2 linked regions of the Astyanax mexicanus genome follow. The main gene of each other region encodes a partner of the protein of the gene in region 2 in a complex. Links are inferred from orthologs where the notes say so. Each region holds a gene or a part of one and is shown on either strand. Other genes may lie near its edges. The genes, in order: pde6gb and gnat1.

The links.
Region 1: the proteins of gnat1 (region 2) and pde6gb are in contact, whole or in part, in a cryo-EM structure (PDB 7JSN), measured with the Bos taurus proteins. The link is inferred for Astyanax mexicanus from reciprocal best matches to the Homo sapiens genes GNAT1 and PDE6G. Residues at the interface, in NP_851365.1 of Bos taurus: Ser140, Arg201, Arg204, Lys205, Trp207, Ile208, Phe211, Asp227, Val229, Glu235, Val236, Asn237, His240, Glu241, His244, Leu245, Ser248, Ile249, Ile281, Phe283, Glu305, Leu306, Met308; in NP_776846.1 of Bos taurus: Arg36, Gln37, Phe38, Lys39, Ser40, Lys41, Pro42, Pro43, Lys45, Leu60, Val66, Ile67, Cys68, Pro69, Trp70, Glu71, Phe73, Asn74, His75, Leu76, Glu77, Leu78.

What each region holds. Positions count from the first base shown.
Region 1 is NC_064422.1:46,536,337-46,552,063, reverse strand, and holds the start of pde6gb (phosphodiesterase 6G, cGMP-specific, rod, gamma, paralog b), read right to left. Parts: upstream 5,970-15,727; 5' UTR 5,854-5,969; intron 1,246-5,853; exon of another isoform or gene 1,154-1,245; intron 342-1,153; 5' UTR 299-341; coding exon 105-298; intron 1-104.
Region 2 is NC_064412.1:3,451,048-3,466,941, forward strand, and holds the start of gnat1 (guanine nucleotide-binding protein G(t) subunit alpha-1), read right to left. Parts: upstream 6,523-15,894; 5' UTR 6,409-6,522; coding exon 6,303-6,408; intron 3,654-6,302; coding exon 3,611-3,653; intron 1,933-3,610; coding exon 1,791-1,932; intron 705-1,790; coding exon 547-704; intron 1-546. UniProt on the Homo sapiens protein: Functions as a signal transducer for the rod photoreceptor RHO. Required for normal RHO-mediated light perception by the retina.

The sequences.
Region 1 (15,727 bases), on a different chromosome or scaffold from region 2:
ACTTCAACTAACTTCACCTTCTATAGCGTCACTCATTAATTACATATTCCAGTAGCTCTAGCACTTATTTTGTTTGTGTGGAGATGATGGGTTGGTGTACTCACCCCTGGATGCCCTTTTTGGGGGGCTTGCTCTTGAACTGTCGGGTCTGCCTCTGCTTGAATTTGGGCGGGCCTTTGCGTGGCGTAGCCGGGCCGCCCGAGACGCGGGTGGCAGATTTGATGTCTGATTTGGGCTGCTCTACATTCAGAGCTGCCACTGGGATGGGGGGTGGTATGTGTTCGGTGTCACCAGTCATTTTTGTTGATTGGTTGAGTTTAACCTCTGGCTAATGTAGAAATCTGTTTAGAAAAAGAGAGAGAGACAGGTGATTGGGTTAAAATGTGACAGAAAAAAACATTATACAAAATTATACACTATAAAAAAATATCACTGTTAAATGTACAGTAGCTTGCTGGCCAGTGCCTCCGTGTCTATGTTACCTTCTGGTTCTCATATTTTAGTTAGGCTGTTTGTCACGTCTTGGCCTCGTCTCGTGTCTCTGTGTGCATTCCCCACGTGACCTGTGCTCCCCTGTGTCTCCCGTCTCAGTACTTTTCCACATGTGTTTCTAATTTGTAGCTCCGCCCCTCGTTACCTGTTTCCCCAGGTGTTCATTGTTTCATGTTTAGTATAAATAGTACTTGTTAGTCTACGTTTGCTGTCGGTCTTTGCACCTTCCCCCGTTGTTTGTCTTGCCACGTTCGCTATAGTTATTTCCACGTTCTCTAGTTCTTCGTTTTGTATTTATCTCCGTTTATTCCCTGTATATTTCTAGTTTGTTTTCTTGTTTGGTTATCGGTCACGTTATTTCTAGTCACGTTTAGTTCCTGTTTGTTTCTTTGTTTATGTTGTATATATTTACGTATTTATCCCTTGTATATATTTCCTCGCCCTGTTTTGTTATTATCTGTTTCACGTTTTTTCCCTGTTTGTTTATGCACCTATTTATATCCGTTATTCCCCTGTTTGTTTATTTGTTTCTTTGTTATTTGTCTGGTCTTACCCGCATTTACGTCCGCCCCTCGTCTGGTTCCCGCGTTACACTGTTATATTCATTAGTAACACTCTGATAATGTTGGATATTATCTGTTCTCCATAAATCCAATCTAACCTAGTTCCATCTTTTTGCCTTCCTCTGAGGCCCGATACCGATGGATGTTCCACACTCAGGTTCTCCTCTCCAGTGTTTATATCATTGCTGTCCAATGAAACACAAGTACCTCCGTTTTTGACAATTTTTTGTTTTCTACATAATTTGAACACTCAAACTGTCCCTTACACAGTCTAAAGAAATTCTGTAAAATTACCAGAAATATAATCTTTTTTCATTGAAAAAATATAACTTTCTTCTTACTGCATTCAATTACTGACTCTATCACAATTTAAAAAAATTAATCAAAATTTTCAACATTTAAAAAATGTATTATGTATATTATACTTTCAGTTGTGGTTTCATTTAGTAGCTGAACATATAGTTTATAAAAATACAACTCTTCAGCAAAAGAAACAACTTAATCTGTGTAAGATTTTACCAAATAACGCTAAACTAGCTATACAACTCAGTACGAGACATACACTTATAAACCAATTTACTGACTATTCCAAAGAGTTTAACTTTAATTCTGTTGATGATTCCATATTGCAAAGAGTTCTAGCTATGGACATACCTGTTACTCCTACACCAAACTCACAAAATTGTTAACTAAATATCTCCAGATATTTATATAAATGTAATGTATAAATAGTGTATTTAGGTAGTAATTAGTTTTGTAGGTAAGGAAGTTTCTCCTCATCAGCCATTCTCTCTCCCAGTGCAGTGTAGCTAGCGTTAGCAGTGTAGCTAACAGAGCAAAACCACAATAAACACCAAGTTAAAGTTCATTATTAAACTCTACGCTAATAAACTGAAGAAATAATACTTTTCTCCTCAGTTACATTCCCCTCACCCACACAGACGGACTGTTTACCACCTGAAACACACCAGCTAAAAAAGACTAGCTTAGCATAAGCACGCTGAGGTAACCACCACTAGCATACGACTGCTAAGCTAAAAGACTATCTTAGAGTTAGCACGCTGAGGTAACTCACCACTAGCATACGACCGCTAAAATAAAAGACTAGCTTAGCATTAGCACGCTGAGGTAACCACCACTAGCATACGACCGCTAAGATAAAAGACTAGCTTAGAGTTAGCACGCTGAGGTAACCACCCACTAGCATAAGAGCGCTAAACTAAAAGACTAGAGGTTAATATTACTAGAATAAAAAAGCATAAAAGCCTGGTTTATAAACATTTATTTAGGATATATAGATTATCTATCCTGCTGTATCTTTCTATGTTTATATAAAGTTATTTAGGATATATACATTATCTAACATGCTGTAGCTTTCTGTGTTTATATAAAGTTATTTAGGATATATAGGTTGTCTAACCCGCTGTAGCTTTTTGTGTTTATATACAGTTATAGAGGATATATAGATTATCTAACCCGCTGCACCTTTCTGTGTTTATAGACAGTTATGGAGGATATACAGATAATCTAATCTGCTGTATCTTTCTGTGTTCATAGACAGTTTTGGAGGATATATAGATTATCTAACCTGCTGTAGCTTTCTGTGTTTATATACAGTTATTGAGGATATATAGATTACCTAACCCTCCTTGTAAGACCTGCTGCTTTAACTTGTGATGTATTATGGATTATTATGGGATATTATGAGATACATTTAAATATAAAGTGAATAAGTTTTCAGAGCCATGCTAAACTAAAATTAGCATCACACTGGTACCATATGGCCTGTAAGCTGTTTCTCCATGGCCTCAGTTCAGCGGAGCGTTACCCATAATCCTCTTACAGGTGAGTAACACAGGTGTATAGCAGTGTTTTAGTGGAGGTGTGTGTGTGAGGGGGGAGTGGGGGGGGGGGGTGGATGGATGCCAGGGGTGACCCAGTTTATATAATCCAGGGCTCAAGTTAATAAGTGAACCCGTATCCCAGAGCTGGTGAAAGGGACTCGTGATAATCTCATTAGTGAAAGGACAACAGTGAACATGCTGAGCTCACAGAAAACTTCTGAGTCAAAAACAAACGTCCTTAACAGAGCTGCTTCAATGACAATCACACAATCCAGCACTCAGTACGGCTCAGTACAGAATATACACTAATATACCAATTTACTAACTATTCATTAGAGTTTAACTTTAATACTGTTGGTTATTTCATATTACAAAGAGTTCCAGAATTTTTATTTCTTATTCCATAGTTCCAGAAATCTGTTCAATTATTCTATTTTCCGATTTCTAGAACCATATTTACTTTTTCAGAGTTTTTTCTAGAATTCTGTTTTATATTTAATATTCCATACAGTATCTTACAATGATGAACACACAGCCACACTTTTTAAATATTTTTTTCAATGCCTAGAGTTCCTTTTAAACATAAATATATAGATTATAGATTATTTTTTTTCTTTAGTCTTAACTTATGCTGTATCATTTTTCTACTTTTGGTTTAGCCTAATAGCTTGTGTGTCATTGGCGAATTAGCAAAGTAATCAATGTCACTCAACATGACAATAAATTGATTGTATCTTAAATATATTTATGGCTTTAATGTATGGCATTATTTTAATTTTAATTTTTAAATTCATTGGATGCTGTGTAGAAATGTAATGTAATTAAATGTAATTGAAATATAACGAAGCACATAACATTCAAGTGTCATTTAAGGCTTAATATGAGGCCTAGGCCTACGTTACCTAAGCCAGCATTTCATCAACTCTAAAACTATAAACTATAAACATGTATTTTTACTCTTTTTTTTCCATCTTGCCATGCAAAAAAAATCATTTTTTCTCAGTTTTTCACTTTTTGGCATGGTGTGAATGTTTTGGAAAAATAGAAATGCTCAAAAATGACTTAGAGTAACAGATTTGAGTAATTAGAGCTCTCAGTGAAAAGATTGTGTAATTGCACAGTGCATGTGGAAATTACTGGAGTACTTTGATTACTTTGCTTTTAATGCAGATTAATGTAAATAAATTGCTCTGTGAAATTCTGAAATTCTAATATATGAAATACTGTCAAAACTTAGAGGCCACTCTGTTTACTCTGTTTGTAGATATATATTCTACGCTGCAGGGATGGGCGTGTTGGCACGCTGCCACCATTAATTACAGTATTTAATCCCCACTCAGGGAGGAAATCTGTAAAGCTGTTATTTTAGAGACAAAGATTTGTTCCAAGACAGATAAAAACATTTTTTATATATTATTCTCAAAAAATAACGTAACTGGGTAAAGGAAACGATTTTTCATAACCATTTTTCCAGATAAATGGTTATGGTTCTTAATCAGTGTGATTTGTGTTCTGGTTCTGACAGTGACTTCAGCAGAACCCAAACTCTTCAATCTGCTGAAATCCCCTCATCCACGTGGATCTGCAGAGCTCCGTGACTCACTGATCCATCTATAATTATCTCATTTTCCATTTGGTCGAGACCTTCACTATACCACCACTGTATACTCAACACTATATTACAAAATACTCACTAATCTATACTCTACACTTCACAACGCTCTACAAAATACTCACTATGTTCAGAACATAGTACTTTAACAGTGTTCAGAACACTCTAAATAATAATATAGTAAAATTCTCAACAGTCAACCTCAAAGTGAACAGTAAATCACCCACTACTGTATACGCCACACCATGCTACAACATACTCACCATTCTGTACTCTGTACTCTGTATTCTGTGTTCTACAAATACTTACTATCCATATTACAAAAAAATAACAGAGCCTTGTTCAGAACACTCTAAATACTAACTATTTTCGACAGTCAGCCTCAAAGTGAACAGTAAATAACATACTACTGCATTTTAAAATTACATTTTTAAATTTTACTTTACAGTCCTGTGTACTGTTTCACTTATTATTCTGTATTCCAGAAATCCTAGAATCCTATTTGCTACCATTTTAGTTAGAATTCTGTTTATTTGTCAATATTTTAGAATTTTGCCAATTATTCCATATGTCAAAATGTCATGAGTTCTAGAATTCTGTTTTATTCCATATTACAAAACATTCTAGAGTTTTACTTGCTACCACATAATTTTAGTTCATTATTTCGTAGATTGCTAGAAACTTATTTAGAGTTCCAGAATTCTGTTTATTGATTCACATTCCATAGAATGTCTGACTTAATACTCAATATACAGCTCTGGAAGAAAATTAAAAGATCACTTCAGTTTCTGAATCAGTTTCTCTGATTTTGCTATTTATAGGTTTATATTTGAGTAAAATGAACATTGTTGTTTTATTCTATAAACTACAGACAACATTTCTCCCAAATTACAAATAAAAATATTCTCATTTAGAGCATTTATTTACAGAAAATGAGAAATGGCTTTCAGAGACGTTGCAGAGCTTGCAGACCTAAAAAAAATCTCCTCCACCAGTCTTACACACTGCTTTTGGATAACTTTATGCTGCTTTACTCCTGGTGTAAAAATTCAAGCAGTTCAGTTTGGTGGTTTGATGGTTTGTGATCATCCATCTTCCTCTTGATTATATTCCAGAGGTTTTTAATTTGGTAAAATCAAATTTTAAGTTTTTTTTTTTCAGAGCTGTATAAATTTAAAATTTTACTTTATCATTTTGCATTATACAGTCCTGAGTATTATTAAATTGTTCATATAGTTGTTACATTTAACCTACTATTCCTTATTTGTATATATATGTTTTATATCAGTAGTTATTATTCAGTATAGTAATTGTTGGATGTAGTGGGTGGGGTTGTACTCACGGCTCCAGCTGATTGGTGGTTAGGTGGCGTGGTGTGGGCGCTGCCCGTGTGTAGGTCTCTCTGGTGGGTGGAGGAGTGGGCGTGTATGCTGGGCTTGCTCTGGGAGAAGTTCTGGTACTGATGGAGCTTTTATACCCTCAGCAGAACCGCAGATTAGGAGAGGGGAACCGCCCACCCCTGATCCCCTATCAGTGCGGAGGATGGACATGTGAGTGTGTTGTGTGTGTGTGTGTGTACATTTTTATTAATAAATATGTATTTTATTTTTTGATGACGCAGCATGTAACTACCCACCCCCTATATTTCACTGTTTATTATTTCTATAGTGTAAATTTGGTTTAGATATCAAACTTAATAGACCTCAAATAATGCAAAGAAAACAAGTTCATATTCATAAAGTTTTAAGAGTTCAGAAATAATCAATATTTGGTGGAATAACCCTGGTGGCTTTTAATCACAGTTTTTTTTCATGCATCTCTGCATCATGTTCTCCTCCACCAGTCTTACACACTGCTTTTGGATAACTTTATGCTGCTTTACTCCTGGTGTAAAAATTCAAGCAGTTCAGTTTGGTGGTTTGATGGTTTGTGATCATCCATCTTCCTCTTGATTATATTAAAACATTAGTATTGTTGTTTCTAAATGAATATGAACTTGATTTCTTTGTATTATTTGAGGTCTGAAAGCTCTGCATCTTTTTTGTTATTTCAGTCATTTCTCATTTTCTGTAAATAAATGCTCTAAATGAGAATATTTTTATTTGTAATTTGGGAGAAATGTTGTCTGTAGTTTATAGAATAAAACAACAATGTTCATTTTACTCAAACATAAACCTATAAATAGTAAAATCAGAGAAACTGATCATAAGTTGTAAAACCCCTCTTATTTGTTTTTGTATAATGTTAGTATTCGTCCAGCCGGGAACATCATGTAAGAAAGTTTTGTAATAACATTGTGATGCAAACCATTATCACTCATTATTTCTGTAACATTATAGGTGAACCTTCCTGCAACTTTTGCTACAACATTGCTAACTGTCTTTAAAATATTCCTTGTTAGCTGGGTAAAGTTTACTCTATATAATTAGTGTGATTGCAGTAATGCAATCACAGTATTGTTCTTCTTAAGTCTTATTAGTGTGATTGCAGTAATGCAATCACAGTATTGTTCTTCTTAAGTCTTATTCTTCTTCTTCTTCTTATTATTATTATTAGTGTGATTGCAGTAATGCAATCACAGTATTGTTCTTCTTAAGTCTTATTCTTCTTCTTCTTATTATTATTATTAGTGTGATTGCAGTAATGCAATCACAGTATTGTTCTTCTTAAGTCTTATTCTTATTAGTGTGATTGCAGTAATGCAATCACAGTATTGTTCTTCTTAAGTCTTATTCTTCTTCTTCTTATTATTATTATTCCACCTGTTTTTTGTCCGGTTAACTAGTGCCGCAGTTTTCGAAATATCGACTTCGTCCAAAAGAGAAAACGTGCGTCCTTATCGGGAATGGTGGGCTTGTATACAGCTTTCCGATCGGACTTACGTTTTTCGTAAAAACTTCGTAAGTACCCGTTTTTTTGCCCATTGAAAATGAATGGGCAGAACTTTGCACGCCTGTGGACGTCGCAATTTTTGAAATACGAAGATGAAACCAATTGAGGACCTGTAGAACTTATTGAGCTCTTTCCGAAAATATGCGTTACGAAAAGTTACGACGTACGGATTTCGTACGATTGTCGTACGAAGTGGCCCCATTGTAATGAATGGGGCCAATCGGAGGACGGCAGCTAGATCGAAGGACAGGTAGCTAGAACTCCAGTACTGTGTGTAATGGAGCAGCTATGGGATAAAACAGCATTAGGTCAAAAGTTTGGACACCCCGGCCCCCCAGTACTGTGTGTAATGGAGCCACGGCTCAAAAGTTTGGACACCCCGGCCCCCCCAGTACTGTGTGTAATGGAGCCACGGGTCAAAAGTTTGGACACCCCCGAACGGCCAGAGCAACCTAGCATGCATAGCTGATTGATGTATTTGCACGTTGCGTAGCAACGTGCAAACACCATTTAATCTAATTTATGCATATACATCACCTAGCAACCACCTAGCAACACCTTAGCAACCACCCCGGATACCATAGCAACACCTTAGCAACCGCCTAGCAACACCTTAGCAACCACCTAGCAACCACCTAGCAACACCTTAGCAACCACCCCGGATACCATAGCAACACCTTAGCAACCGCCTAGCAACACCTTAGCAACCACCTAGCAACCACCTAGCAACACCTTAGCAACCACCGCAAATACCATAGCAACACCTTAGCAACCGCGTAGCAACACCTTAGCAACCGCCTAGCAACACCTTAGCAACCACCTAGTAACCACCTAGCAACACCTTAGCAACCAACCCAGATACCATAGCAACACCTTAGCAACCGCCTAGCAACACCTTAGCAACCGCCTAGCAACACCCTAGCAACCACCTAGCAACCACCTAGCAACACCTTAGCAACCTTCCCGGATCACATAGCAACACCTTAGCAACCGCCTAGCAACCGCCTAGCAACCACCTAGCAACCACCTAGCAACCACCTAGCAACACCTTAGCAACCACCCCGGATACCATAGCAACACCTTAGCAACCGCCTAGCAACACCTTAGCAACCACCTAGCAACTACCTAGCAACACCTTAGCAACCACCCCGGATACCATAGCAACACCCTAGCAACCACCTAGCAACCACCTAGCAACACCTTAGCAACCACCCCAGATACCATAGCAACACCTTAGCAACCGCCTAGCAACACCCTAGCAACCACCTAGCAACCACCTAGCAACACCTTAGCAACCACCCCGGATACCATAGCAACACCTTAGCAACCGCCTAGCAACACCCTAGCAACCACCTAGCAACCACCTAGCAACACCTTAGCAACCACCCCGGATACCATAGCAACACCTTAGCAACCGCCTAGCAACACCCTAGCAACCACCTAGCAACCACCTAGCAACACCTTAGCAACCACCCCGGATACCATAGCAACACCTTAGCAACCGCCTAGCAACACCCTAGCAACCACCTAGCAACCACCTAGCAACACCTTAGCAACCTTCCCGGATCACATAGCAACACCTTAGCAACCGCCTAGCAACCGCCTAGCAACACCCTAGCAACCACCTAGCAACCACCTAGCAACACCTTAGCAACCACCCCGGATACCATAGCAACACCTTAGCAACCGCCTAGCAACACCCTAGCAACCACCTAGCAACCACCTAGCAACACCTTAGCAACCACCCCGGATACCATAGCAACACCTTAGCAACCACCTAGCAACACCCTAGCAACCACCTAGCAACCACCTAGCAACACCTTAGCAACCACCCCGGATACCATAGCAACACCTTAGCAACCGCCTAGCAACCACCTAGCAACCACCTAGCAACACCTTAGCAACCACCCCGGATACCATAGCAACACCTTAGCAACCGCCTAGCAACACCCTAGCAACCACCTAGCAACCACCTAGCAACACCTTAGCAACCACCCCGGATACCATAGCAACACCTTAGCAACCGCCTAGCAACACCCTAGCAACCACCTAGCAACACCTTAGCAACCACCCCGGATACTATAGCAACACCTTAGCAACCGCCTAGCAACACCCTAGCAACCACCTAGCAACCACCTAGCAACACCTTAGCAACCACCCCGGATACCATAGCAACACCTTAGCAACCGCCTAGCAACACCCTAGCAACCACCTAGCAACCACCTAGCAACACCTTAGCAACCACCCCGGATACCATAGCAACACCTTAGCAACCGCCTAGCAACACCCTAGCAACCACCTAGCAACACCTTAGCAACCACCCCGGATACCATAGCAACACCTTAGCAACCACCTAGCAACACCCTAGCAACCACCTAGCAACCACCTAGCAACCACCTAGCAACACCTTAGCAACCACCCCGGATACCATAGCAACACCTTAGCAACCGCCTAGCAACACCTTAGCAACCACCTAGCAACACCTTAGCAACCACCCCGGATACCATAGCAACACCTTAGCAACACCATAGCAGATACCAGCCAGCACTGCAATCACACTCGCAGTTTCTGTAGGAACTGCAATCTAGTTATTATTATTATTCCACCTGTTTTTTGTCCGGTTAACTAGTGCCGCAGTTTTCGAAATATCGACTTCGTTCAAAATAGAAAACGTGCGTCCATATCGGGAATGGTGGGCTTGTATACAGCTTTCCGATCGGACTTACGTTTTTCGTAAAAACTTCGTAAGTACGCGTTTTTTTGCCCATTGAAAATGAATGGGCAGAACTTTGCACGCCCGTGGACGTCGCAATTTTTGAAATACGAAGATGAAACCAATTGAGGACCTGTAGAACTTATTGAGCTCTTTCCGAAAATATGCGTTACGAAAAGTTACGACGTACGGATTTCGTACGATTGTCGTACGAAGTGGCCCCATTGGAATGAATGGGGCAAATCGGAGGCCGGCAGCTAGATCGAAGGACAGGTAGCTAGAACTCCAGCACTGTGTGTAATGGAGCAGCTATGGGATAAAACAGCATTAGGTCAAAAGTTTGGACACCCCGGCCCCCCAGTACTGTGTGTAATGGAGCCACGGGTCAAAAGTTTGGACACCCCAGCCCCCCAGTACTGTGTGTAATGGAGCCACGGGTCAAAAGTTTGGACACCCCAGAGCCCCAGTACTGTGTGTAATGGAGCCACGGGTCAAAAGTTTGGACACCCCAGTGCCCCAGTACTGTGTGTAATGGAGCCACGGGTCAAAAGTTTGGACACCCCAGAGCCCCAGTACTGTGTGTAATGGAGCCACGGGTCAAAAGTTTGGACACCCCAGAGCCCCAGTACTGTGTGTAATGGAGTCACGGGTCAAAAGTTTGGACACCCCAGAGCCCCAGTACTGTGTAATGGAGCCACGGGTCAAAAGTTTGGACACCCCAGAGCCCCAGTACTGTGTGTAATGGAGCCAAGGGTCAAAAGTTTGGGTACCCCGGTCAGCTCTGCAATCACACTCGCAGTTTCTGTAGGAACTGCAATCTAGTTCCACCTGTTTTTTGTCCGGTTAACTAGTGCCGCAGTTTTCGAAATATCGACTTCGTTCAAAAGAGAAAACGTGCGTCCATATCGGGAATGGTGGGCTTGTATACAGCTTTCCGATTGGACTTACGTTTTTCGTAAAAACTTCGTAAGTACGCGTTTTTTTGCCCATTGAAAATGAATGGGCAGAACTTTGCACGCCCGTGGACGTCGCAATTTTTGAGATACGAAGATGAAACCAATTGAGGACCTGTAGAACTTATTGAGCTCTTTCCGAAAATATGCGTTACGAAAAGTTACGACGTACGGATTTCGTACGATTGTCGTACGAAGTGGCCCCATTGGAATGAATGGGGCCAATCGGAGGACGGCAGCTAGATCGAAGGACAGGTAGCTAGAACTCCAGTACTGTGTGTAATGGAGCAGCTATGGGATAAAACAGCATTAGGTCAAAAGTTTGGACACCCCAGAGCCCCAGTACTGTGTGTAATGGAGCCACGGGTCAAAAGTTTGGACACCCCGGCCCCCGAGTACTGTGTGTAATGGAGCCACGGGTCAAAAGTTTGGACACCCCCGAACGGCCAAAGCAACCTAGCGTGCATAGCTGATTGATGTATTTGCACGTTGCGTAGCAACGTGCAAACACCATTTAATCTAATTTATGCATATACATCACCTAGCAACCACCTAGAAACACCATAGCAACCACCACAGATACCATAGCAACACCTTAGCAACCACCTAGCAACTGCTTAGGAGTGACCTACCAACCACTTAGCAACACCATAGCAACCACCCCGGATACAATAGCAACACCTTAGCAACCACCTAGCAACACCTTAGCAACCACCTAGCAACACCTTATTGAGCCGCGGGTCAAAAGTTTGGACACCCCCGAACGGCCAAAGCAACCTAGCGTGCATAGCTGATTGATGTATTTGCACGTTGCGTAGCAACGTGCAAACACCATTTAATCTAATTTATGCATATACATCACCTAGCAACCACCTAGAAACACCATAGCAACCACCACAGATACCATAGCAACACCTTAGCAACCACCTAGCAACTGCTTAGGAGTGACCTACCAACCACTTAGCAACACCATAGCAACCACCCCGGATACAATAGCAAAACCTTAGCAACCACCTAGCAACACCTTAGCAACCACCTAGCAACCACCTAGCAACACCTTATTGAGCCGCGGGTCAAAAGTTTGGACACCCCCGAACGGCCAAAGCAACCTAGCGTGCATAGCTGATTGATGTATTTGCACGTTGCGTAGCAACGTGCAAACACCATTTAATCTAATTTATGCATATACATCACCTAGCAACCACCTAGAAACACCATAGCAACCACCACAGATACCATAGCAACACCTTAGCAACCACCTAGCAACTGCTTAGGAGTGACCTACCAACCACTTAGCAACACCATAGCAACCACCCCGGATACAATAGCAAAACCTTAGCAACCACCTAGCAACACCTTAGCAACCACCTAGCAACCACCTAGCAACACCTTATTGAGCCGCGGGTCAAAAGTTTGGACACCCCCGAACGGCCAAAGCAACCTAGCGTGCATAGCTGATTGATGTATTTGCACGTTGCGTAGCAACGTGCAAACACCATTTAATCTAATTTATGCATATACATCACCTAGCAACCACCTAGAAACACCATAGCAACCACCACAGATACCATAGCAACACCTTAGCAACCACCTAGCAACTGTTTAGGAATGACCTACCAACCACTTAACAACACCATAGCAACCACCCCGGATACCATAGCAACACCTTAGCAACCACCTAGCAACACCTTAGCAACCACCTAGCAACCACCTAGCAACACCTTAGCAACCACCCCGGATACCTTAGCAACACCCTAGCAACCACCTAGCAACACCTTAGCAACCACCCCGGATACCATAGCAACACCTTAGCAACCGCCTAGCAACACCCTAGCAACCACCTAGCAACACCTTAGCAACCACCCCGGATACCATAGCAACACCTTAGCAACCGCCTAGCAACACCCTAGCAACCACCTAGCAACCACCTAACAACACCTTAGCAACCACCCCGGATACCATAGCAACACCTTAGCAACCACCTAGCAACACCCTAGCAACACCTTAGCAACCACCCCGGATACCATAGCAACACCTTAGCAACCGCCTAGCAACCACCTAGCAACACCTTAGCAACCACCCCGGATACCATAGCAACCACCTAGCAACACCCTAGCAACCACCTAGCAACCATCTAGCAACACCTTAGCAACCACCCCGGATACCATAGCAACACCTTAGCAACCGCCAAGCAACACCTTAGCAACCACCTAGCAACACCTTAGCAACCACCCCGGATACCATAGCAACACCTTAGCAACCACCTAGCAACACCATAGCAACCACCTAGCAACACCTTAGCAACCACCCCGGATACCATAGCAACACCTTAGCAACCGCCTAGCAACCACCTAGCAACACCTTAGCAACCACCCCGGATACCATAGCAACCACCTAGCAACACCCTAGCAACCACCTAGCAACCATCTAGCAACACCTTAGCAACCACCCCGGATACCATAGCAACACCTTAGCAACCGCCAAGCAACACCTTAGCAACCACCTAGCAACCACCTAGCAACACCTTAGCAACCACCCCGGATACCATAGCAACACCTTAGCAACCACCTAGCAACACCATAGCAACCACCTAGCAACACCTTAGCAACCACCCCGGATACCATAGCAACACCTTAGCAACCGCCTAGCAACACACTAGCAACCACCTAGCAACACCTTAGCAACCACTCTGGATACCATAGCAACACCTTAGCAACCACCTAGCAACACCTTAGCAACCACTTAGCAACACCATAGCAACCCCCACGGATACCATAGCAACACCTTAGCAACCGCCTAGCAACACCCTAGCAACCACCTAGCAACGCCTTAGCAACACCTTAGCAACCACCCCGGATGCCATAGCAATACCTTAGCAACCACCTAGCGACGCCTTAGCAACACCTTAGCAACCACCCCAGATACCATAGCAACACCTCAGCAACCACCTAGCAAAGCCTTAGCAACCACCTAGCTACACCTTAGCAACACCTTAGCAACCACCCCAGATACCATAGAAACACCATAGCAAAACTTTGCATCTACCTAGCAACACCTTAGAAACCACATAGAAACACCATGGTCACCAGCACGTGTGTTTTTCTGTAAATTGCATACATTTAATGCAAAAATTAGAATGTGACTATACACAGTAGACAACAGTAGATGATGAAATACTCATAGTAAAATTAAAGCACAGAAAATATGTTTTGTGAAGCAGTAAAAAAATTGTGTGAAAAAATAATTTCTCTTTATATGTTCTTAATATATTTGTTGGCTAGCTAGCTAAATGGTTTCTTATTAGTTGACTTTAGTAGTAATAGGAAATTACTGTATCTAAGTACTTAAAATTCATAATCTGATTTATTGTGAAGGTCAGTCAGTTTGGGGTGCTGCAGGTGCATGAACTTGGACAGTTGATTTTGAAAAAAAAAAAAAAACACTACACTTGCTGGTGATTGGCTGAGTGTATTTTTTAAATAAAAACACAGAGAGACCCAGACATAACAAAGGGGGGAAAGCCCCCCTTTCTCCTGTACATCTGTCTGGAATTCACAATTCTCTCTCAGATTTGATCAATGCCACTGAGGTGACTGGATCAGAGATATCTCTTGCTTTCTTGCTTTTTGACAAACCCCACATTTCTTCAACTGAATCCAGACTTTCTACAACCAAGACGAGGCCTGATTTCACCCAGACATTGGACTTCTGTCTTTAACTTTTACTATATCTGGTGAGTCAAACTAACATTAATTTATACAAGCCATGTGTTAACTCTGCTAGCTAGTAAGCTTCTAATTAGCTAAACTGTCTTGCTTTAGACTTATAGATGTTTGGATAATTATTTTGTGATTAAAAGCTGTAACTAATCTTGATGAAAGCTGGAATTTTGTACATAGCTATGTAAGGTTTATACCAATAGAACAGGGTCTAATGTGTTAGCTGGGTAGCTAATGTAAGCTACTAATTTAAATTTTGGTAGCTGGGTAGCATCAGCACACACAATCAAATTAAATTGACATTACCTTGAGAAAATTGAAGGAGTTAATGGGCTTTAGCTTGGCATTTTCTTAATGTGATGTATTATAAGTTATAACTAGCTAACCTAGCTTTAATTTATAAGTTATAACTAGCTAACCTAGCTTTAATTTATAATTTATGACTAGCTAACCTAGCTTTAATTTATAAGTTATAACTAGCTAAACTAGCTTTAATTTATAAGTTATGACTAGCTAACCTAGCTTTAATTTATAAATTATAACTAGCTAACCTAGCTTTAATTTATAAGTTATGACTAGCTAACCTAGCTTTAATTTATAATTTATGACTAGCTAACCTAGCTTTAATTTATAAGTTATAACTAGCTAAACTAGCTTTAATTTATAATTTATGACTAGCTAACCTAGCTTTAATTTATAAGTTATAACTAGCTAACCTAGCTTTAATTTATAATTTATGACTAGCTAACCTAGCTTTAATTTATAAGTTATAACTAGCTAAACTAGCTTTAATTTATAAGTTATGACCAGCTAACCTAGCTTTAATTTATAAATTATAACTAGCTAACCTAGCTTTAATTTATAAGTTATGACTAGCTAACCTAGCTTTAATTTATAATTTATGACTAGCTAACCTAGCTTTAATTTATAAGTTATGAC
Region 2 (15,894 bases):
GTGCAGTGGGCGGGGCTAAGCTTTTGTTTTATTGGCTAATAACATTTTGATTTGGCTAGTTTATGGTCTATGGTGACAATTAGTTTTATGTGCAACAAAACATTTAAAAAAATAAGAAAATACATGATAGCCAATGGTAATGGGCGCAGGGTCTGAAAGGAACTGCAGAAACTAAAACTAAATTACAATTCTATGTTTCAGTGTTATGTTTTTTTTGTGTTGATCTTTCAAAAGTAATAAAGTAGTGAAACATTAAAAAAGTTTGAACTTGAAAAACAGGTAAATTATCCTAATAAATCCATTACATGTTAAAGGTTATAAACACCATTGCACTAAATATTGATAGAATAATTAGTAATGGAGTTAGTAATGAAAAATTAACACTTATTTTTATGATTAATTTTTTGTTTTAGACATTTTTCGGATAATTAAACATCAGCACCAGGTCAAACTGACCCGGGAACACCATAACTGTTCCTGATAAATGAAGATAACAGAGGGTTAAAGTATTTGAACTTCTTCTGGCAGAGTTTCTGTATAACTTACTATCCGGCGGAGTCATTGAGCTGGTATTCTGAGGCTCTGTCGAAGCACGCCTGGATACCAGTGTCTTTCCAAAGCTGGATGATGATGTCAGACAGCTCTTTTGGCATCGTTCCCTCCTCAATAGTATCCGCCAAGTGCATCAGCTTTCTGGCATTATCCTACAAAACACGAAATCTCTGCTTAGATACACTGCTAATACAATTCTACAGTTTCTATAGAGTTTTCTACACAGTGATTCACCATCAAAAATCCTACAGAACCATCAGACAGACCAGTCGTAGGTAAAAATCCATTCTACTGGTTTATGTTTGAGTAAAATTAACATTAATGTTTTATTCTGTAAACTACAGACAACATTTCTCCCAAATTCCACATACAAATACTGTCATTTAGAGCATTTATTTATAGCAGAAAAGGAGAAATGACTGAAATAACAAAAAAAGATGCAGAGCATAAAAGTGGCATAAAGTTATCCAAAAGCAGTGTGTAAGACTGGTGGAGGAGAACATGATGCCAAAATGCATGAAAAAAACTGTGATTAAAAACCACCAGGGTTATTCCACCAAATATTGATTTCTGAACTCTCTTTGTTATTTCAGCCATTTCTCATTTTCTGCAAATAAATGCTCTAAATGAGATTATTTTTATTTGGAATTTGGGAGAAATGTTGTTTGTAGTTTATAGAATAAAACAACAATGTTCATTTTACTCAAACATAAAACTATAAATATCAAAATCAGAGAAACTGATTCATTGCTTCAAAATGAGCTCTGGAAAAAATAATCACTTCAGTTTCTGAATCAGTTTCTCTGATTTAGCTATTTATAGGTTTATATTTAAGTAAAATGAACATTTAGAGCATTTATTTGCAGAAAATGAGAAATGGCTAAAATACCAAAAAAGATGTTTTCAGACCTCAAATAATGCAAAGAGTGTAAGTTAATGCAAGTTCATATTCTTAAAGTTTTAAGAGTTCAGAAATCAATATTTAGTGGAATAACCCTGTTTTTTAATCACAGTTTTTATGCATCTTGGCATCATGTTCTCCTCCACCAGTCTTACACACTGCTTTTGGATAACTTTATGCTGCTTTACTCCTGGTGCAAAAATTCAAGCAGTTCAGTTTGGTGGTTTGATGGTTTGTGATCATCCATCTTCCTCTTGATTATATTCCAGAGTTTTTTTCAATTTGGTAAAATCAAAGAAACTCATCATTTTTAATTGGTCTCTTATTATATCAGTACCTGTTGGGCGGCGTCTCCGTAGCCGATGTTGAGAGTAGTCATGGCCTTCACGATGGCCATAATAGACTGCAGGGTGTTGCTGTAGATGATGGTAATGAACTCCAAGCACTCTTCTAGGGAGTAACCATCTTTGTGGATAATTCTGTGGTAGAAAAACATGTTTAAATTAAATGTCTGGTGCTAATACAGTAATTTATTTAAATAATGGTAACACTTTATTGGATGGTCAATTGGATGGCCTCATTGAAGCTCAACTAACATTCAACTGCATGTCTATTAAATGCAATTGAACTAAAAGGTAAAAATACATGATTCTCCATTAAATGAAACCCAACATCTAACTTTAACCCAAACTCTAATCTTAACATTTTAGAGTTAGGGATTTTAGGGTTTAGAGTTAGATTTAAAGTTTAGGTTAGGGTTAGGTGTAGGGTTAGATTTTATGGTGAATTAAGGGTTAAGGTTAGGGTTAGGTGTAGGGTTAGATTTTAGGGTTGATTAAGGGTTAAGGTTAGGGTAAGATGTAGGGTTAGATTTTAGGGTTGATTAAGGGTTAAGGTTAGGGTAAGATGTAGGGTTAGATTTTAGGGTTGATTAAGGGTTAAGGTTAGGGTAAGATGTAGGGTTAGATTTTAGGGTTGATTAAAGGTTAAGGTTAGGGTTAAGTGTAGGGTTAGATTTTAGGGTTGATTAAAGGTTAAGGTTAGGGTTAGGTGCAGGGTTAGATTTTAGGGTTGATTGATGGTTAAGGTTAAGGTTAAGTGTAGGGTTAGACTTTAGGGTTGATTAAGGGTTAGGGTTAGGGTTAGGTGTAGGGTTAGATTTTAGGGTTGATTAAGGGTAAAGGTTAGGGTTAGGTGTAGGGTTAGATTTTAGGGTTGATTGATGGTTAAGGTTAAGTGTAGGGTTAGATTTTAGGGTTGATTGATGGTTAAGGTTAAGGTTAAGTGTAGGGTTAGACTTTAGGGTTGATTAAGGGTTAAGGTTAGGGTTAGGTGTAGGGTTAGATTTTATGGTTGATTAAGGGTTAAGGTTAGGGTTAGGTGCAGGGTTAGATTTTAGGGTTGATTGATGGTTAAGGTTAAGGTTAAGTGTAGGGTTAGACTTCAGGGTTGATTAAGGGTTAAGGTTAGGGTTAGGTGTAGGGTTATATTTTAGGGTTGATTAAGGGTTAAGGTTAGGGTTAGGTGTAGGGTTTGATTTTAGGGTTGATTAAGGGTTAAGGTTAGGGTTAGGTGTAGGTGTAGGGTTAGATTTTAGGGTTGATTAAGGTTAAGGTTAGGGTTAGGTGTACGGTTAGATTTTAGGGTTGATTAAGGGTTAAGGTTAGGGTTAGGTGTAGGGTTTGATTTTAGGGTTGATTAAGGGTTAAGTTTAGGGTTAAGTGTAGGGTTAAATTTTAGGGTTGATTGATGGTTAGAGTTAGGTGTAGGGTTAGATTTTAGGGTTGATTAAGGGTTAAGGTTAGGGTTAGGTGTAGGGTTAGATTTTAGGGTTGATTAAGGGTTAAGGTTAGGGTTAGGTGTAGGGTTAGATTTTAGGGTTGATTACGGGTTAAGGTTAGGGTAAGGTGTAGGGTTAGATTTTATGGTGAATTAAGGGTTAAGGTTAGGGTTAAGTGTAGGGTTAAATTTTAGGGTTGATTGATGGTTAGAGTTAGGTGTAGGGTTAGATTTTAGGGTTGGTTAATGGTGTGGGTGTAGGGTTAAGTTGCATTTAATATACATTCATTTGAGCATCAACGAGGCCATAAAATCAACCATCCAATAAAGTTTTACTTGAAACATTAAAGGTTTAAAGTTGAATAAAATAACACTTACTTCATCTGTTTGACAATGGTGCTTTTTCCTGACTCTCCAGCACCTGACAAATAGATTATACAAACCAATTAAGTTCAATTAATTCTATTCAATTGCAAACCCACAAATATATAGTTTAAAAATTCATATTGCGTATTTTATTGTATTTACTAAAATTCATACTCACTGTATGTGTGCTAGGCTGTAGTTATGTAGTTGAAATATATACTGTATTTGCCATTCGTAACTTAAAACTTGAGATATGTTTTGATATTGTCACGTAAATGTATAACTTAATATATGTAATACATTTAATAAATAATTCAGCATGATTCAATTAGTGTCAAGTATTTAATGTTTATTTTATAAGCGATGCCATTTCTTTATGGCAGCAGGTGGCAGCACTGTACCAAATATATCATTACAAATTCCCTGATTGAAATGTTTGAATAGATGGATAAATATATAAATATAGATCATGAAGGAAATTTGTCAATTTAAGTTAATTGAAATAAAATTAAATGGACTGATATTTTTTTTTAGGTTTCATCCACATACAGTCCACCACAGGGACAAGTATAAGTATAAGCTCCACTACATATATATTTTCAATCAACACATATATAACTTAAAGTATATAGCATAAAGATACATTTTATGTAAATGCAGAGAAATAGAGTACATTTAATGTACAGAGTATATTTAATGTGTATTTTCATAAAATATATTACATAGAAAATGTACTTTTAGTATTCTTCACCTAATTTAAACATACTTTTAATGCTCTTAATTATACGTCCCAGGGTTAGCTACAGCTAACCTATATTAACAAAACTTTATTACCTCTATATTTGCACTAATGTTTATATGGGTTCTGTTTATACTGGTACTGTCTTTACCTCTTTAATCCCCCCCATCACTTTTGCACGTTTATCTTGTGTCTCTTGTGTCTCTTGTCTCGTCTATGTCTATATTTGTGATTTGTGCAATAGTGTCTATTGAATTCTTATGTTATTTATATATTTTAAATACTATCGCTTTAGGTTTTTTTGCTGTAACATTGTGAAGGAGAGTAAGGTAATTTCAATTCTCTGTATGTCCTGTATATATGCAGTATTGACAATAAAAATACTTGACTTGACTTGAAAAAGCATTTATGTAGAAACAATGCCAAGCCAACAGCTCTTCATGCTTCTAAATTAGCTAATTTTTTGTTTTATTTCATTTTATATGCTTTCTTTTACACTGTTAAGATATCTGTTTTCAGTATTCCAACAGTAAAGACACAACACAACATTTGTCAGTGGTAAATTATGCATGTTAATTGTAAATCAAGATTATTATTGTTGATTTAAAACTGGCAAATTCATTCAATTAGATTAAGAATTGTGAATAACACAATCCCATAACAAAATCTACACTAATGCTGGCTTTCTTCCAGTGTGGAGAATTCCATTCCCCTCCACTCCACCCGCTCCTCTCCTCCCCTCTCCAGTATGTTTGGTATGTTCTCCTGAAATCATCCTCCTGTCCTGTGTGCATATCTTGAGGAGGATCGCATTAAGAGGCTTGGGGTTCATTACTTTAGCCCCTAAGCCTGTTAAAGCTGATGTATGCGAGGACGCTGACCCAGATCTAAGACTAGTTTAGTCAAGCTGTTTAAAAATGCAGTTATGAGAGATGGAGACAAACGTTTTCTTATAATTAGGTAATCTTCATTTAATATTATAATGAACCAATATAAACCAATCAAACGTTTGGCCAGATGATTCTTCTTCTTCTTAATATTTACATGCAAACAAAAATAGAGTTTTTTTTTACATTGAATTCAAAGGATTTAAGAATTTCAGTTAAGATTGCTTTCACTATACTACTATTATAACAGTGGTTCATTCAACATGATCTTCATTCAATATACATTTAATCCAAATTCATCAGGATGTTACCAAGAACCAAGACCAACAGCAAACCATAAATGTTCAATCTTTGAAATATGAATATTCTACACTCCAAAAAAGGCATGATTTTTGCATTAGAGCCAGGGGCAGATCTAGAAAAATATTTCTGGGGTGGCATATATATATATATATATATATATATATATATATATATATATATATATATATATATATGGCCACGGGCTACCATTTACAAACTCAAACAGAGAAATGTACTGAGGAAAATTATAAAAATATTAATGCACAGTTACTTTCTTAAACAAGTAACTTTAATCTGATTACTGGATTGGACATACTAATGTGTTAGATTTATCATTACTGGAGAAACGGACAGATTACAGTAATGCGTCACTAAGTACCTGACATCACTTGACCTTTAGCAAACAATACATGTTATAGTGAGCAAAATAAGATTTTTATAGATGTTTTATAAGCTCAAAATAATCAGCATCGCAGTTATACTAGCACCGTGCTTTCACAATTAATTTATTTCGTTATAATTTACTGCAGTCTGGCTTTAGATATTCTCTCTCATAAAAGGTTAAACTGGCCATAATGAAATATTTTTATCTTTTAATTCTGAGGTGGCAGCATGGGTGGCAAGGCTTTCTTTTAGGGTGTTTAGCCTTTTTAGGTGGCAGCTGCCCCCCTATGCCACCCCGGTAGATCCGCCCATGATTAAAGCTCTTGCCCTGTTCATGTTTAAATCTACGGAGTTACTCAAGGCTCAATCGTGGGCCCAATGGTGTTTTTACCCAGTAGCAGCAGCTTGACGGTCCTGGCATCTTTGTCGGCGTCCTCCTTGAGCTTCTTCTCCAGCTCCCTGGAGTGTTTCTCCTCGGCGCTCGCTCCAGCCCCCATATCACCTCTGGATCAAGAGTGAAGAAGCCTGGAACTGAAACCGCTCGATCGCCGCAAGCACCGGCCAGGAACCGTGAACCACAGCAGCAGCTCTAGCTTCAACTGGATAAGGTGAGTCAACCAGTTGTTTCGAGTCTTAGGAGGATTTGGGATTTCGGTTGACCACCTGGGCTAGCGTGACCAATGAAGGACAAGGACGGAGGGCGACTGGGCGGGAGGGGACACAGGTGACCTCAGATTTAGGTAGAAGATGCTGTGGTCAGCAGAAGGGTCTAATCTCAGGCGAGTCCTCTCAGCCACATTAAAAGGGCGAGCCTTAGAGAGATGAGGAGGCCTGGTGAGGAGCGCCATTATTATATCTCATTATTCAAGTGCAAGTATAGATACTAAGGTACTTAAAATACTTAAAATACTTCCGTAGAAGTTGTAGAAGTATCAAGTCAAGCTTTTTACTCTTTAAGTAAAAGTGTTTAAAAAAGTACTGGTTTCAAAACTATTTAAAGTATAAAAGTAAAAGTAATGTAAAGAGAAAAAATAAATACATTAAAAAAAAGAAAAGCTTAGGCCACGCCCACAGAGTCCTAGAGTGCACTACCCCCCCCCCCCCCCCCCCCTCCCCAAAACACATTTTACTAAAGGCCATAATGACTATAATGCTAAAATTTGGGATTTTGCACTAGGCTGTTCCCTTGACTTAAAGCTGTATACTGGATATGCCAAACTTCTTGGTCTGGTCATGGTAATCCTATTAAAAGGGCAGTATAGCATATTTTAGTATATATATAAATAGCATATATATATATATATGTAGCACAAATTTATTTTTATTGAGAAAGTTAGAGAAGAGGAAAAAAAAACAGGAAGGTAGAGAAACAAGACAAATCCAATGAATAACAAAAAGAAAAGCGTTAACAACATTAAGCATAAAAGCACAGGAATAATAGACTAAACAAATGTACAAAACCAAATAAAGGGATCCAGCCCAAAATGTATTTTTTTGTTCTCTTTTCCTTCCTCCTTCTTCCTTCCTTCCCAAAATCCCCCACTTTAAACCCCATCAAGTCCCTCCCACTCACAAAAAATGTAATCACACTGTTATGCCAGGTAAGAAAAGCAGGGTCACTCAATGCAACACAAAACCCATTTTTTAGACTTTGTTAGCAATTCATTTAACCTTTTAAACTATTTTTTTTATATTCGTTTTTTACACCCAGGATACTGTGAACTCTCGTAAGTATAATGAAACCCTTATGAATGAACATCCACCAAGGTATAGCTAATTTTGATGGAGTTATTTCGGTCACATTTTAATATAAAATGCGATAAGTCAAAAATACTAAAATTGTTGCCTGAACACTCCTGTTGCATTCAAATTTACTAACATCTTTTATGTTTGGGGTCAATTTGACCCCAGCAATTTTAAACTACGGAAAATTATTATATAATAATAACACTTTTACCCAAGTTTATGTTTTTTTAAAAAAAATCTACTATCAATATGTTTGTAGGAACAATATATTCCTCCACAGATACAGAAATATCAACTTTTCGTGAGAATTATGTTTTCCCCGCCCCCCTGTTGCAATGAACTTTCAGTGGTTCTTGCACTAATACAGATATAATCATGTTATTTTAGGCCTCTAAAGTTTAAAGTTCAAACATTATTCAACACAAATGTGTGTAAAATGTTGATATTTCTATATTTCTATGTTTTATACAGCTAAAACAGCCTGTGTTCAGCACACACAAAACATTCACATTACATCACATTAATTTAATATTTACCCAGTTGTCCCCATTAAATTAGGAAAAGTCACTGAATTTGAAGTGGACAAAATGATATTAACTGCTTATTTAAAGGTGTAAAACATTTGATTGGGGTCAAATTGACCCCAAACATAATAGGAGGGTTAAAAAAATTGCAGCGTAAAATATTCCTCTGCTGCTGTTTAGCACAGTTTGTGTTGTATCCATCATGTGATACGAAGCTCTTAAAAGATTTGGAGTTTTGCTTTGGAGAGCTTACTGACCTCAATCTAAGGAGTGACACATACCGGATATCGTGTGTTTGTGTGTAAGTGTGTGTATGTGTGTGAGAGAGTGTGTGTGTGTGTTTTGGAATGACACGGATTGGTGAGAGTGTGCGTCAGTGACGATATAAGACAAGAATTAATTATTCCATGAGGCAGTGAGGGCTGTGCCTGAATGCCGTGCCCACGTGTGAATTATGCCTTTTCACTGTTTACAGCCTTCCATTAATCCATATACATGAAAGAGCAGAACTGTGTTCAGATCTTTAACATAATCTGGATTCAAACCAGAGACGCTTATGTTTCCATTCCTGCCTGAAATTACAAATACACTGCAGAACCGTTCTTATAGTAAATTAATAGTGAAATTGATTTAGATATTATGATGAAACACATAAGAAAGCATGTAGTAACTTAAAAGTGTTAAACAAACCAAAATACTCTTGTTAACTTGCGGTTTCTGAGGCTGGTAACTCTGATTAACTTATCCTGTACAACAGAGGAAACTCTTGCTCTTTCATTCCTGGGGCGGAATAAAAAAAAGTTCTTAATTTTTTTCAGATCGACTTAACATCATTTCTTTCTAAATGCATTTTTAAAATACATTACAATACAATTTATCTGGCCAGTTGTTCCACATGTGAAGTCAGACTCCGCCTCTTTTTGAACTGCTGCTGATGATGTAGCATTACCGAGTAGCATCACAGCGCTAACGCTCGGAGGAAAGTGCAGCGACTCGATTCTGATACATCAGCTCACAGACGCAGCCTTGTTCTGATCCACATCACCCTAGGAGTGATGAGGGGAAAGAAAGAGCTCCATCTACTGTACCCACCCAGAGAGAGCAAGACCAATTGTTCTCTCTCCAGGCTCCAGCAGCTGATGGCAAGCTGCATGACTGGGATTCGAACCAGCATTCTCCCGATCATAGTGGTAGCGCTTGACATTCATTTTATTTCTTAAAATAAATGTTTTCTTTATTTAGCTAAGGAGTAGACATGAAAAACAAGACAATGGGAAAACAGATAAAATGCTATTTATTATTTACTGCACTAAATAGACAAACAAGTAAAAAAAAAAAACATATAAAGGTTTTAAAACATGCAAAAATATCTAGTTTATCTTCTTTACTTGCCCTTTTAAATCATAGTAGCTAATATAGCTCAGCTTAGGTAGGCCTCCGTCTGTCTCTAAAGGTAGACTTATATCCGATGTAATACCCAGCTTATATTTCTAATTTCTAGAGAACTGCTGGAATTTCTATTTTTTGCATCTTGTAACAAAATACAGATGGTATAATCCAACCTACTTTTTTCTTTTTTGTAAGAAAAAAACCCAGAATTTTTTTAAAAATAAAAATTAAGAAAAAAGCCTTCCCTTATTTATTATGGCCTACCTTTGTGTATAAATACAGGCATTGGTGTGTGTGTCTGTATATTAATATACATATTGTACATATACTCTGTTTAATATCTTTGTTTATCCTTTTAGTTTTACTCTCTTGTATCTTTATATATATATATATATATATATATATATATATATATATATATATATATATATATATATATATATATATATATATATATATAAACACATATACGGAATCATGTAGTAACTTAAAAGAATTAAACAAACCTAAATACTTAAAAGTGTTATCTAAGCAATGGTGCTACTTTTAAGAATCTAAAATATCTGATTATTAATAGAGAAAACATTTTGAGAGAAAAAAAATGAAAGGTCAAAAAAACAAGATAAATAAAAATAACAAATTAAAATTAAAATATATATATTTTTTTTTTTCATTTTTTCTGAAATTGAAATTGGGATGGGCAGATTTTTCTATTTTGAAAATAGATAATTGTATTATATTAAAATTATATTAAAGATGAATTTGGGTTTTCAATTATTTTGCCAATTTTTAAGTTTTTAATTTCTGCTCCTCACGATCAGATATACTGTACATGAAAAAAAAAAAATCTATTTAGTTTTCTGATTTTACAATTTATGCATTTTGTAATAAAAATCTGATGGTATAATCTAACCTACTTTTTACAAGATAAAAAAGGTCTGAAAATCTAGAAATATATTAATTAATAATATATTAATTCATTAATAATTATTTTATTTTAATATTGAGATAGTATCTCAAAATAATGACTTACTATCTAAAAATAATGACTTACCTTCTCAAAATATTGAGATAGCAGTTTACTAAATAATAATTTTAAGAATGGGCTTCCACATCAAACGGTCAGGTAAAAAAAAATTAACTGGTGACTTTATTTCTGTTTATATCACACCTGAGGGAGGACCGCAGGTAATGAAGCTCAGTTGTGCAGTAAAGTGATTTCCTGTGGTTTTTAAAAGCTGTAATTGTGTAGATCAGTATTTTTTCTCAGCGCGAGACTCCGGGCTGGAGCTGAGGTTGTGCAATCAGCTGCAGCACTTCCTCATGAAGATCAGTCAAGGCGTGGACCAGAACCGAGCTCGAGCTTCTGAGGCTTAAAGAAACAGAACCGCGGAGTTTCAGCGAGTTTCAGAGCTTTTCTCGCAGAAACAGGAGGATTTCTCTGCGTTTTACTGAAGACTGCGGTGGAATTAGTGAGTAAAGACCTCGACGCTCCTGTCAGAGAGGTGTTCCTCAGGTAAACTTCATGCTCTTTCACCTGCATGCTCTCACCTGAGCTGCTTTACCTTTATTTAAAGTGTGTTAAAGTCGTTTACGCTTCATATGAAGGTTAAAAACCTGATAAAATACAGTTTAGTTTTAGTTTTTAGCCTAGTTTATCTTCTTTACATATATTTACTCGCCTTTTTAAAGCATTTAAACCATCTAAAGTTAATCAGTTGATCATAACCTGCAGTTCAGGTAACAACATATAGGCCTCTGTACAGGTAAAGCTAGGCTAATATCCGGTGTAATACTCAGCTAATATTTACCTTTATTATAGAAATAAACTATTTTTATTAGGTTTTTACAGTGTAAGGACAGCTGGGCTCTGTGTTGTTTTAATTCTGATGTAATGGTCTTGGCAGTGATTACAGGAAGTGGACACTCAGAGTCCTGTAATGAAAACGTCCTCAGATCCATTAGTGGAAAAATCAATACATCATATTTATTCCTCTTACAGAGAGCAGCCAAGATAATATCCTGATTTTTCCCACGCATTCTGAACTGTACTAAAACATGATTCCTTGTTTTTTAAGGATAAAAACACTGTATGTTGTGTTTGCTTATGTTAAAAAAGTGGTTAAACCCAACATACAGTTAAATAACATGGTTTATTTATGTATAAGAACAAAAAAATATATTGACTATTAAAAAACTATGACTTTTAATTACTGTTCTACTTAAAATAAAAATAAAAATCTCTGTAATTTTAAGATAAAAACAGTTTATGTGTATGAATGAATGTGCTCAGCTTTGTCATAACACTTGATATGTAATCGTTTGCAATCATCAAATTATTGAGTTAATAAACTGCATTAGCTGTCTCAATTCTTAACTCATATTAGTTTTACAGCATGTAGGCAAAAGCAGCATTAACCCCGTCACTGCTGCTAAATTTACTCTGCTCTTCAGCTTCCCTTTTCTATTATAAATTCCTTTATTTTGAAAAAATCTACAACTTATCTGCAAAAACCTTTTGAAATGCTTAATATATTTAATGCTTAAATTAATTGAAAAACAATTAAAACGAACTAAAATGATAATTAAGAAACAAGTAATTATATAATTTTTAAATATAAAAATAAAAAACAAAGAAGCACAAAAATATATATTTTTGCAGATTTTTGCTTCCTACTGATCTTATATCTTAATAATTTGATAACCTCAGTGATGCAAAAAAGTGGTTAAACTAAACATACAGTTATATAGTATGGTTTATTTATGTATAGGAACTAAAAAAAAAACCTACACTGACCTATCTAAAATAAAAAAAGAATCTCTGTAATTTTAAGATGAATACTTGATATATAACACCACACTGTTTGCACTCATGTACTCTTTTCATAGTGTTTTTGTCTCAATTGATTTAGGTTTTTTCTAGCTAAAATTAGTTTTACAGCATGTAGACAAAAGCTGTAAAACTCTGCAACTTCCCTTTTCTATTTTAAAATCTACAACTCATCTGCAAAAGCTTTTAAAATGTATTTTTACATTTTTTAATGCTTATATTAATTTAAAAACAATAATTACAACTGACTAAATAATAATTAAGAAATAGTAATTATATCATTTTGATGATCACAAACCATCAAACCAAACTGAACTGATTGAATTTTTGCACCAGGAGTAAAGCAGCATAAAGTTATCCAAAAGCAGTGTGTAAGACTGGTGGAGGAGAACATGATGACAAGATGTATGAAAACTGTGATTAAAAAACAGGTTTATTCCACCAAATATTGATTTCTGAACTCTTAAAACTTTATGAATATGAACTTGTTTTCTTTGCATTATTTGAGTTCTGAAAGCTCTGCATCTTTTTTTGTTATTTCAGCCATTTCTTATTTTCTCAAGTTTTCTGGATATTCTTAGTATATATTTATTTAACATTTTTAAATAGTCTGGCAATGTAGCTGCAACATCACTAATGTTAATGTTTTTTTTTTAGTTTTAAGTATATTTCTATAATGTTAGTATTGATGTAGCCAGTGTTGGGAAGTAACGGATTACATGTAACGGCGTTACGTAATCAGATTACAAATTATGAGTAACTGTAATCCGTTACAGTTACTGCTTCAGTAAGTGGTAATCAGATTACAGTTACTCTGCTAAAATAAAAGGGTTACATTGCGGTACTTTCCTATTTTTGCTCTTCCAATCCAACACTGACAAAACGCAAATAACATTTTGGGGTGAAATCGCTCTGATATGACAGGGAACTGTCTGCCCCTCCTCCCGTCTCGCTGCACACACACACATACAGGGAGGAGGGGCAGACAGCGGCTCCGCACACACAACGAGACGAAATTAACTGACATTTTGGTCAACGAATAAAAACGAGACGAAAATGTTTGGCAGGGACGAAATCCAATCAGACTGATATAGTTCTGTGAAAGGTAGGGACCAGTTAGGAAGAGATCCAATCACTGCTACTTTAGCGGAGGCGCCGCGCGCTCAGTTACAAACCCGGGAATTAACCTGTCGTTACGGAGCTCGACTGGAAGTTAACTCGACAGTGTTCAGCAGGAAGAGAGAGAGAGAGGGGAGAGGCGATATATTTCTCCTTTGACGTCGCGAAAAACAAGATAATGTGTAAACAGAGACTCCATCTCCGGTAAAAACACCACTAATCTTTCAGCTTCTGCAGACCAGAGTCACACAGATCTCCATGCAGAGATCCGCGTTTTAATGCTGATGTTATTTCATGAGCTGATGGTGTTTAACTCAGCAGTGCACTAAAACACAGAACTGATACAGAACTCACTCATTAAGATCAGATCATCTGTTTAGTCTCACAGTGGGAAAGATATAGCTAGTGTTAAAGCAGCAGCAGGTCAGAAAGGAACTCAATAATACAACGAAAATAAAACAATAAAATAAGTGAATCTATGAACCCAAAAGTCTGTGTAAAGTTCCTTACAGCACTTTCTCATAAGTTTCTCACTTTAACTCATGAAGTCTCTCAGTACATCCTGAGAGCATCTCTACAGGACAGTGTGTGAATGTTTGTTTTGATCTCATTTATAGACTGTAGCTCCAGTAGATGTGCTGGAGATAAAACTAGATCCTTTAAAAGTTGTTTTTGCATCTACAGCTCTGTTTAAACTTTAATTTAACTATTCAGTTGTTTTATGACCTGATTTCTAGAGCAAATTTTTAAATGTAACATATGTATAGTCACACACCTACAATAATAATAATAATATACATTAAATCATATATAAATATATTTCACTTTCAAACATTAACAATATTACTCAAGTGGTTATTAAACGTTTCATTTCATATAAGTGTATAGTTAATAATTCAAGGAAACTGATGAAAAATCATTTACATTTACACCCTTTACATTTTAGTCGACTAAATTTACTGTAATTTTAGTCGACTATATTCTTATGACATTAAGTCGACTAAAACTAAAAACATTTCAGATGACTAAATTGTGACTAAAACTAAATACTATTTTCGTCACAAGACTATGACTAAGACTAAATCAAAATTTGTTGTCAAAATTAACACTGGAGGCAAACCTGCAAATAGATAGCTTACAGTTGTTGTTACATTGTTTGGTTTTAAATGGTTTTATCAATTTATAGAAGTGTTTTATAAAATTGTTTGATGAAATGGTTTCATAAGTATTTTTATAGAGTGATTGAAAAGGCTGTTTTATTTGTTTATCTATTTGTTAACTGGAAAGAAAAATAAAATAATAATATGCAATATGTGGTTGCTACATTCATTCAGGCTTAAAAAAATGACAATATTTAAAGTAATCCAAAGTAATCAGATTACGTTACTCACTTGAAGTAATGTAACTGATTACGTTACAAATTACATTTTGAGTGATGTAATCAGTAATCTGTAAGGGATTACATTTTAAAAGTAACCTTCCCAACACTGGATGTAGCTGGGAATGTTTTGTAAGAAATGTTGTAATGACCACCATTGTTATGCAAACTAATATTAAGTCGCAAGTTATTATAAGAATATTCCTGGAACATTATTTCTGTAACTTTTCTGAAACCTTTTTTTAAACATTGCTAAACGTTCTTGTAACGTTTGCTGATATCTGGAACCTGAGGTTTGTGCAGTAATGTTTCTCAGAAGTCTACCTGAGTAAATCTGCGTCAGCTGTGTTGATTTAGTGACTTTCGGTGACCTGTACTCGACCTACAGTTGAGTAAATCTCAGAACTTTCCTATTGGCTCCTGGCCTGATCCATATGAATACTAGGCGTGTCTAACCCACTTCACGCTCCATTGAATGTTAGTATCCCCCCTCAGGCTATCTTCACTTGGGTGGGGGTCACCTCTATTCTGTGTTTTGGGTAACTCCCTGGTTTCAGTGTAAAATATGTAGAAAGTGTGAATTAGTTTCTGTTGCTGCTGAGAGTAACTTTATAATACCTGAATCCTGGTTAGTATATCAAATAGGGGTGGGCGATATTTCTGCGATAACGATACTCTTGGCAATATGACAAAACACTGAATTAAAAAAAATAAATAATATATGTATGTATATATATATATAAAAATCTAAATTCAAAAATACTCTACATTCCAGTGCACTCTTTAAAATAATGGTGATACAGCAGATTCTTAAGGAAATGCAATGGAAGAACCTCCATTTGATGTACAGGTTTTTCACACTTACATATACTAGTGTATCTGCTGGTGTTGATCCACTGTGTTTTATTATCAAGTCTAAAGTCAGTGCAGTTTTGTTTTCCCACAATTTTTTACAGCACGTCATGCTTCCCTCTGCTACTGACAACTTTTGAAACTT